Neurospora crassa OR74A: one gene and its partner. The protein of the gene in region 2 binds, or shares a complex with, the protein of the main gene of each other region. Links are inferred from orthologs where the notes say so. Each region holds a gene or a part of one and is shown on either strand. Other genes may lie near its edges. The genes, in order: NCU06491 and NCU05587.

Region 1 (4,153 bases), on a different chromosome or scaffold from region 2:
TTTCATCATCCCATATCTCCAACTTCTTTATGTTGACTTTGACATAAGCTGTCCTACTAGAAAATCGTACAATAACGCACAACGTCCGCAAAATATCATGCCGCCGCCTGTACACCCTGTGATGCTCCCGGGCCGGCCGCCTTCTTCAAAGCCTCCAACCTCGCCAGCTCCTCCTGCTTCATCCTCTCCTGGATCCTGACTCTCTCCGGGACAATCTGTTCTCTTGGCCTGGTAATCTTCCAGCCTTCCAGGCGGTCTTTTCCAAGAGCCCGCAACGTCACCTGCTCGACGAGTGAATAGTTGCCGTCCTCCCTATCAAAGTTGAACGGCTGCTTCAGCGCTACTGGCGGGTTGGTAATGATGCGGACGTTCCTCTTCGCGTTGCTGGAGGCCGAGTGCAGCATCAGCGGATGAAGTAAGTACACGTCTCCGACCTTGCCTGTTGCCTCGACAAACTGGGTGCAACCCTTGGCCGTGTTGTTGAACCAGTTGAGATGCTGCTCTTGCTTGAACTCGGCATCGCTGCGGGGTGCCATACGTGGCGAGACACCCTCGGGATGCTCGTACAGGTGTTTGGCGAGGATAGGGATTGCCTCCGGACAGATCATGGTCCCGCCGCCCTCGGGCATGATATCGGTGAAGAGAGGAATGACGAGCAGGCCCTGCTCCGGGCTGTCAAGGTAGTGGACGAAGAAGTCACCATCGACGTGCCAATTGTCCAGCTTTTGCGGGGGGACTGGTTTCCCTTCTTTCTGTGGTGTGCCCAGGTTGACGATAAGGGAGTCCTTCCACTTCTTCGACCAGTTCGCGATCTTATCCTCGCCGCCGCAAAGCTCGCTGATGGCTGCCCAGGCACGAGGGGCAAAGTCTGCAGCGTCGAACTCCATATGTGAGGGCATGTTGACACGTTCTTTGTTCCAGGTGGACTTGTCGTTTGGATCCATTCCTAGTCTCGTCCAAACATTGGCGATGATTTCCTGTGCTCTCTGCTGCGTGAAGGCAGCCGGGATCCTGGCATGGTCAGTACCTCGAACGAGGTTGAACAGCTGGTATGGTGGCATGACACCTACTTGACCCAGCCATGAGTGAGGAAGTGTTCCTTCTCTTCAAGACTCAGAGCAGATGACGACGACATGTTCAGTGTGATGTTGCCTTTGGGACACATCCTGTAGAAAGTAGCGTAAAGAACAAGGCTATAGACTGGAACGGGGCCGACAAGCTATCTCTACCCTTATATACTCTTTTCAAGATCCCGCCAGAAACTAACCCAGGCTAATCAATCCGACTGTCACGACAACTCCGGACTCCGAATGGAATGCCGCCTCACACTGCGCCACGAGGCAGCTAGGTAATCCATCCTTGCTCCGTAGGCGCCCTAGGCTACGTGTAACCGGCGGGGTGGTTTTTGGTTTAACCAGAAATACCCTATTGGATATCGCCAGGTTTATTGGAGAGTACGGCATCACCAGTTTTCCATTTTCGTGATAGCGGCCTTTCTGAACCTGAACATCATGTCCCAGTGGTGTGGTTGACAACATCCCGTCGTCAGGGGCAGATCCAGCTTGTCATCGGATGATAGTAACGGAACTCTAAAAAGGTTCCCGGTTGCGGGGCGTTTTCAGCGGGACATCAAGGAAGGTGTGGGCGTGATGCGGGGGAGCTTGAGCCGAACAGCGGCGACATGACGGCAAGCTGCCCTATTGGCTGCTAACAGAGCGTTTGTGTTTCCACTGTCACGCTGCAGTCGATCGGACAAAGACATGGATCCCGTCCTTGTTCCCTTCATCACTTTTCCACTTTAATATTCCGGCCCACGATACTTGGAAGAGGTACCATTCTTGGAACGACGACACACACGGCAACGAGAATTTTACGCGAATAGCTTGAGGAAGACCAGACTGTTATATTCGCGAGATACCAAGATGGCGCCAACACTAGAGCTTCTTGCAGAAGACTACGCGTCAGAGGAAGACTCCGACTTCGCCCCAGAAACTGCCGAAGCCGCGGGAGAATCATCAATATCCGACGATGACGACGAAGAAGCCGGTGAAGATGCCGAGAAAGCGAAACCCGAGAAGAGGAAACGCGCTGCCATCGAGGAGGCGGAAGACGCTGGTTATGACAATTCTGGAGATGAAGCTATAATAAAGAAGGGGGAGAAACGTCAAAAGAAAACAAAGACAAAACTTGCTGCCGACGATGAGGAAACTGGCGAGGGCGGTCTCATCAAGACGCGCAGCCAACGCGCTGTTGAGTATGTTCTCACATCAACCCTCTTCTCTTTGGGTCCTGGGCATTAACGACAATGGCAGAAAGGAGAAACGTTCAACAGCCGCCGCCAGCGGACCTGTTACAATCGACGTCGATGCCCTTTGGGCGCAAATGATCAGCGAGCCGGTCATACCACGAACAAGTACAGCGAAACCAGACGAAAGCGCCGATCCAGCGAACTGTGACATCGCGAAATCGTCATCCCAGCAGCCAGAAACAGCCAAGGCGAAAGATCCCGATTCCGACCTCATAAAGATCAAGAGAACCTACAACTTCGCCGGCAAAGTCCACACTGAAGAAAAGCTCGTTGCCCGCGATTCTGCCGAAGCAAAACTCTATCTCGCCTCTCTCGGAGAGAACGCTCCAGCGGACGGCGAAACAGCCGCCGAGGACGAGTCCTCCTCTGCCAAGCGCATGCCCCGAAAAGCTTTCCGGTCCGTCTTCGAGCCCATCACCGACGCCAACTCGGCGCATCGTTCCGACCTCAACCTGAGCATGGCCTCCCGCCTGCAGGCTCGCGAAGCCACGGGCAACAAGGCCAAGAAGCTCAACACGGTCGAGAAGAGCAAGATGGACTGGGCGGTGGCGGTCGACAAGATGGGCCTCAAAGACGAGCTCGAGCTGGCCGGCAAGTCCAAGGACTCGTTTGCGGCGAGGCAGGATTTCTTGGCCAGGAGCGAGATGCGCAGGGAGGAGGAGGCGAGGAGGGCGAGGATGGCGCAGGCGGGGAAGACGTGAGCGTGTCACGATCTCCAGTCAATCCATTGGTCGCTTGCCTATTATTGTTGTATGGATGGCGTCTCCCTTACCACTACAAGTTTGGAAGGACAGCACTATGCAACACCATTTCATTTCTTACGTTCGCCAAATAGAGATACCCCAGTTTTCAATATCGGAACTTTCCAACGCGTTGAAGACACCAAGCAAAACACGACTTGCATGAACTCAGGGTCACAGTCACATATCAATTCCTTGCAATTCCTGGTCACATTGCAAAGGAACATGCATTTCTCATCCAGAAATCATTTGGCAAGTTGTACCCATGCACCACGCTGTCTGACTCATGATCCCAACTTCTCAATGCAGTTATCATCAACCAATCATCAACTGGCGTGGTGGCGGAGTGGTCTAACGCGCAAGACTAGAAATCTTGTTCCTTCGGGAGCGTCTGTTCGAATCAGGCCCACGTCGAAGTGATTTTTTTTTCCAATTTCTTTTTTTTTTTTTGGACGATTTTATTGTTGAATGGCTCCATAACACCAGTCTGGGGTACCTAGCCACTGGCAGTGGATGCCGACGACAACGCTTTTTGGTCCTTTGTTCACAATGATTTCCCAATGTATCTTGGGAGCTTATTCGATTATTTGGGGGGTTGGTTTCCGCTGATTCAGTACTAGATCAACGACCTCTCCTCCAAGTTGAGAATGTCTAGAAACTCAACAACGGAAGATTATCTACGTCTGACTTCCTGTCTTCAACAGGTAGTTCAACCATCCAAGGTTGTTGGGTACCTCTACCTATGTACACACGCCTTAAAAGCCCTTTTGAGATCTGAAAATAACCTTGAAGGTAGACTTGCTTGAGAGGTTCTACCTTACCCCCCTTCTTACCGACCAGTAGTCGAAGCTGATGCTAATAAGAAGGGGAAAAAAAGGTAACTGAAGGATGGTAAAAGGTGGTAGCGGTGACTATCTACTTGGAGTAGGATTCAGGAGAGCGTCACTTAACTTCGAGTCACATCCTCCGGATGCGATAGCGATACCTGGCGATGGTGAGGATGGATGGGTGAATGGGCAATTTGGGGTGGAGATTTTTTTTACAGGGCCGGGGAAGTGAGGGAGGTCAGCATGATGGTTGTGACGATGATCTATTGCAGCAGACG
Region 2 (4,532 bases):
ACGGCATCCTGCGATTGCCATCCTACCTCTCACGCGTGCGTAGCGGGGTTTTGGACCCAGCCGCCGAGCCGGAACTAAAGCAGATCACGCCCGTAGTCGCCCAAATAGACGCGAGGAACGGATTCGGCTTCCCCGCCGCGCACCTGGGCATGGACACCGCCATCAAAATGGCGGGCGTCTATGGCATTGGAATGGTAAGCGTCAAGCATAGCAATCATTTTGGCATGTCCGCTTGGATTGTGAAGCAAGCGGTGGATGCGGACATGATGAGTCTGGTTTTTACCAATTCGTCGCCTGCGCTGCCCGTGTGGGGTTCCAAGGAGAAGATGATGGGTGTAAGCCCCATCGCCTGTGGAGCGCCGGGTGGGAAGGGCGAGGGGTCGAAGCCGTTCATCTTGGACATGGCCCCGTCGGTCGCAGCGAGGGGCAAGATCTATAAGGCGCTGAGGAGGGGAGAGAAGATACCGACTGACTGGGCTTTGGATGGGGAGGGCAAGCAAACTGATGATCCGGCCAAGGCGCTGGAAGGCGTGATGCTGCCTATGGGTGGGCCAAAGGGGTCGGCGCTGGCGATCATGATGGATGTCTTCTCCGGCGTGCTTTCGGGTTCTGCGTTTGCTGGAGGCGTCACGGGGCCGTATGATATGTCCAAGCCGGGGGACGTTGGCCACTTCTTCGTGGCCATCAAGCCTGACTTGTTCATGAGCCTGGACGAGTTCAGGGAACGCATGGATATCCTATACCAGAAAGCGGTGAACTCGGAGAAGATGCATGGCGTCGACAGAATTTACTTCCCGGGCGAGATTGAGCAGCTGAACGAGGAGCAGAGATTGAAAGATGGCATACCATATGCCAAGGCAGAGATTGATGCTCTGAATGCAGAGGCTGAAAAGCTAGGCTTGGGCAAGATCCGATTGATAGAGTAGAGCTTCATATATATTGGGTTATTTGCACCTTTGGAGGTGAAATGGGCCAAATTCTTCGTCTGAGCCAAGTTTGTTTAAAATAAAGAAGCTGCAGGCGATCACAACAAACCACTGATGAGGACGATGGTGTGATTTGGTCTCTTTCCGAGGGTTAGCGTTGATCCTTTTTTCAAACCATTTTGAAAACTTTACCAAAGGCAGCATCATGGGTATCACAAGGGTGGCAAGTAGCTCGCCCTCAGAAACTCTGATACCTGCTTTTCCGTGTAGAGCTGTAGGTAGCTGAGATCAGTTGCGCGGTTTTGCCCCAGTGCATCTCAATCAAGATCAACACCCAGTCTATACACCCAGCCCATCGAGACAGAGTCTTGGTGTTCTGGCATGGCACGGCAGGGTTTCGGATTGAACGGCGCTTTTCAGACAGAGTGTATGGCACTCAACGTCCAGAGACAGGCAAGAAGCAAAGCGTACTAGCCCACCCTGCTCATTTTTGTCTGGGTAGTATCCAGCCGGGCACTCAATCAAGCAGCATAGGGAGCCGCTTGGCAATCGCTTTATGGGCTAATGAACCCTGGAAAGCTTCAAAAATGGCAATAATAGACTCCAAGCAAATGCTCAGGGGTCGAGTCCGAGCCCAGCAGCAAATTTTCTTGCCACCCAAGCAGCTCCATGTTCCTCATACTCTTGCTTGGTGACCTCGAGCTTACTGGCATGTTCATGCTTGGCGAAATTGGCAGCTCCCAACCAGGTGCTGATGATAGGGTCTTCCGGGCGGGCAACTCTGACCCTGCATTCATCGGGGAATCGCTTGAGAATCTCTGTTTGCAAGCGCTGACAGAACCCTTCAGAGAGACTGTTTCCTCCCACAACTACGATATTAGCCAGAAGGCCAGGCCACAGTCCAATTGGCACAGCCAAGAGGGACTGCTTGACTAGGTCGGCGATGCCAGGTTGCCGGATGCCGATATCAGAAGGGTTGAAGAGGAGCTCTGGAACAACAAAACGCTCGTTCCGTAGCGTCAGGACGTCCTCTGTGGATACAATGCCCTTGCGGGCGCGCGCCGAGACACCAGGCTCGTAGTCGCGGACAACACCGTGGAAGCGCGTGTGGGAGTCGGGCAGAACGTAGTCTTTGGCGATGCCAGCACCGCTCAAGTAGTCCTCCCTCTTTTCGCCGCGCGTCCCTTTCCAAGTCTTTTCCAGGTCTCCCTTGAAGTCCAGGGAGGTGTAACAGACTGCTTCTTTCATCTCGTTCACAATGTATGGTTCGTTGCGCATGTCGAAGTGGCGGACGGACAGTAACCTGGTGAGATAATTGGTCATGAGCTTGCCACCCACATCAAGTCTTCGTATGGCCGGATGTAGCGGTCGGCCTTGGAGGATAGGCGTAACGGTGGTGTGAGAGTAACCCGAGTCGATGAGCAGGATGACTTGGGCTGGACTGTCTATGGTGGATTGGGGTGTTCGGAAGATGGATTGTATGTCCCGGTACGCGTTGAAGACAGGACCTAGAAAACAAGGTCAGCACCCTTTCCCTAACAGCTCTCTAGGAGGCGACATACCCAGGCCACGGTAGTAACTCGCAAAGCCATACTCCTCAAAGACGATCTGGTCACAGTGTGTTTGGAGAGAAGGCAATGAATTTGGTTGCTCTGTGAGAATGAGCCTGGTGTCTGATGGGTCGCATTTCTGCGCAGCTTTATCGTCGAAGAACTCGCGATCCCAGATCTCTTTCTGGGCCTCCCAGTTGACGATAAAGCCCTTTTCGACGGGGCGCCTGAAGGCCAATTCGCTGAAGTCCTTGCATTTTTCGAGTTCCGAGCCGACATAGATCTTCCTGTGACGGTCTCGAGCGAGGCAATTCGGAATGATGCGAGGCTTGCCGTCGCTCTTGTCATCGGAGACGAATCCAGCCTTGATGGTGTCGGCGCCGTTGTCGAGAACCAGGGTTGTCGTGGGGGGTGCCGGCCCTGCCGCCCGGGACTTTTTAGCCCCTCCTCGTCCGGTCATGACAGTACTGAAACAACAGCTGCTGACAATTGAATCCCTCTCGCGCCCCGGCCCTCGTAGCTTGAAGTGCGTGGGAGAGTCGCGTCGCGGTTGTTGTCGCAAGAACCGTCAATTGTTTGGGTTTCCACTTGCATCGACGACGGGACCTGCTGATAAGGGGAACGATAAGGGTTGTCAGTGCCACCCGGACCTCGACGGGCTGGGGTTCTCTTGCTTGGCATTTCATCATTTCCGCCGCCGCAAGTGTACACTAAAGACTCGCTGACCTGACAGCGCCGGAGAGTGAGAACGGAACCTGCCGGCGCCTGCCACTGCGGCAGCGGGCACAACACACCGGAGACACACACACACAGCGCAGCCTAGGGCCTTGTGGAAATCTCGACTGGGACCGGGCAGCCCTGCCTTCCGTCATCCATCACTTCACTTCCACTGTTGAGAGCACACTCCCGCTCCCGTCACGGCAACTGAACTCTGCAACCCGACCACTACAAATCCCATCAATGTTGCCCCACTCAACTTTTACCTCTGACTTTTAAAAAAAAATTAAATGACAAGGTGAACATTTCCACCTCTCAGCGTATTTTGCCCCCCTTGTGGAATCAACCTCATCCTCTTGTGCTCCGATACCGAGCACTCACTCGATGCGCTTTATCGTGGTCAGTATCGCATAAACCCATAACTGCTAGTTTTAGCATGTCACAACGATACCAGAACGGCGGTGGCGGCGGCGGCGGTCGACGTCGTGGTAACGACCCTCGGGACGACCGCAATGGCTATCAACAACGCGCGCCGAATGGCCCTCATGGTCTCCCTGCCCGACCTCCCCAGCCGACATCGTACCGTCCCTCCGACAACTACTCCAACCGCAACAACGGTGGCGGTGGCGGTGGAAGAGATCGCGACAATTACCGGCCTCCTCAGGGTGATTTCTCGTTTAGAGTAGAGAAGCCGCCGGGAGTCAGCAATTCGAGCTACGACAACTACCGTCCCAACGACAACAGGCAGTCCTACAATGGCCGCAGAGCCCACTCTCCCAGAGGCGATCGTCGCCACGGAAGACCCAGTGGCCGTGGACGAGGCCGCAACGCTGGCCCCCACGGAGGTTTTAGGAAACCGTGGCGTCCTTTTGTTGCGGCTGAGCGCGAGCTATTGAGCGGTACCCATGAGTCTGGAAATGAAGAGGCCCTCTACAATCCCGAGACGGGCGTGCTCTACCGGAATGTCGACGAACTGTCCGACAGTGATGAGGCCGAGATGGACATCTCTGGAGATGAGGCTGCTGAAGATGCCGAGCCGTCGACCAAGCGTGCTCGCACTGCGCTTGATCAGTCGACCAGCGCCAACAACACCCCCAAGTGGTCCAACCCCGACCCCTACACTGCACTCCCTCCCGAGGGTGCTCGGGAGCGCAAGACCAAGGATGTTGTGCAGATGATCAGAAAGGCTCGTGTGCAAACCGCTGCCGAAACAAAGACCGCGCTCCCCAACGACCTGGACGAGATCATCATGTTTAATTCCGATAGCGACAGTGACATCGAGATCATCCAGGAGGCGAAGCCCACTGGCAAAGCAGCGCGTGATTCCCTTTCTCTTGTT

Evidence for each region.
Region 1: NCU05587 (region 2) and NCU06491 share a complex: the UniProt entries of both Saccharomyces cerevisiae proteins name them as parts of the SWR1 chromatin remodeling complex. The link is inferred for Neurospora crassa OR74A from reciprocal best matches to the Saccharomyces cerevisiae genes ARP6 and SWC5.

What each region holds. Positions count from the first base shown.
Region 1 is NC_026503.1:1,608,066-1,612,218, forward strand, and holds NCU06491 (SWR1-complex protein 5), read left to right. Parts: upstream 1-1,502; 5' UTR 1,503-1,922; coding exon 1,923-2,254; intron 2,255-2,312; coding exon 2,313-3,009; 3' UTR 3,010-3,370; downstream 3,371-4,153. Other genes in the region: NCU06490 (hypothetical protein), read right to left, coding at 96-1,011, 1,071-1,165. UniProt on the Saccharomyces cerevisiae protein: Component of the SWR1 complex which mediates the ATP-dependent exchange of histone H2A for the H2A variant HZT1 leading to transcriptional regulation of selected genes by chromatin remodeling. Involved in chromosome stability.
Region 2 is NC_026506.1:1,416,427-1,420,958, reverse strand, and holds the start of NCU05587 (actin-like protein arp-6), read right to left. Parts: upstream 3,036-4,532; 5' UTR 2,937-3,035; coding exon 2,489-2,936; intron 2,435-2,488; coding exon 1,542-2,434; 3' UTR 1,119-1,541; exon of another isoform or gene 1,067-1,118; 3' UTR 927-1,066; coding exon of another isoform or gene 1-926. Other genes in the region: NCU05586 (malate/L-lactate dehydrogenase), read left to right, coding at 1-926; NCU05588 (topoisomerase TRF4), read left to right, coding at 3,630-4,532. UniProt on the Saccharomyces cerevisiae protein: Component of the SWR1 complex which mediates the ATP-dependent exchange of histone H2A for the H2A variant HZT1 leading to transcriptional regulation of selected genes by chromatin remodeling. Involved in chromosome stability.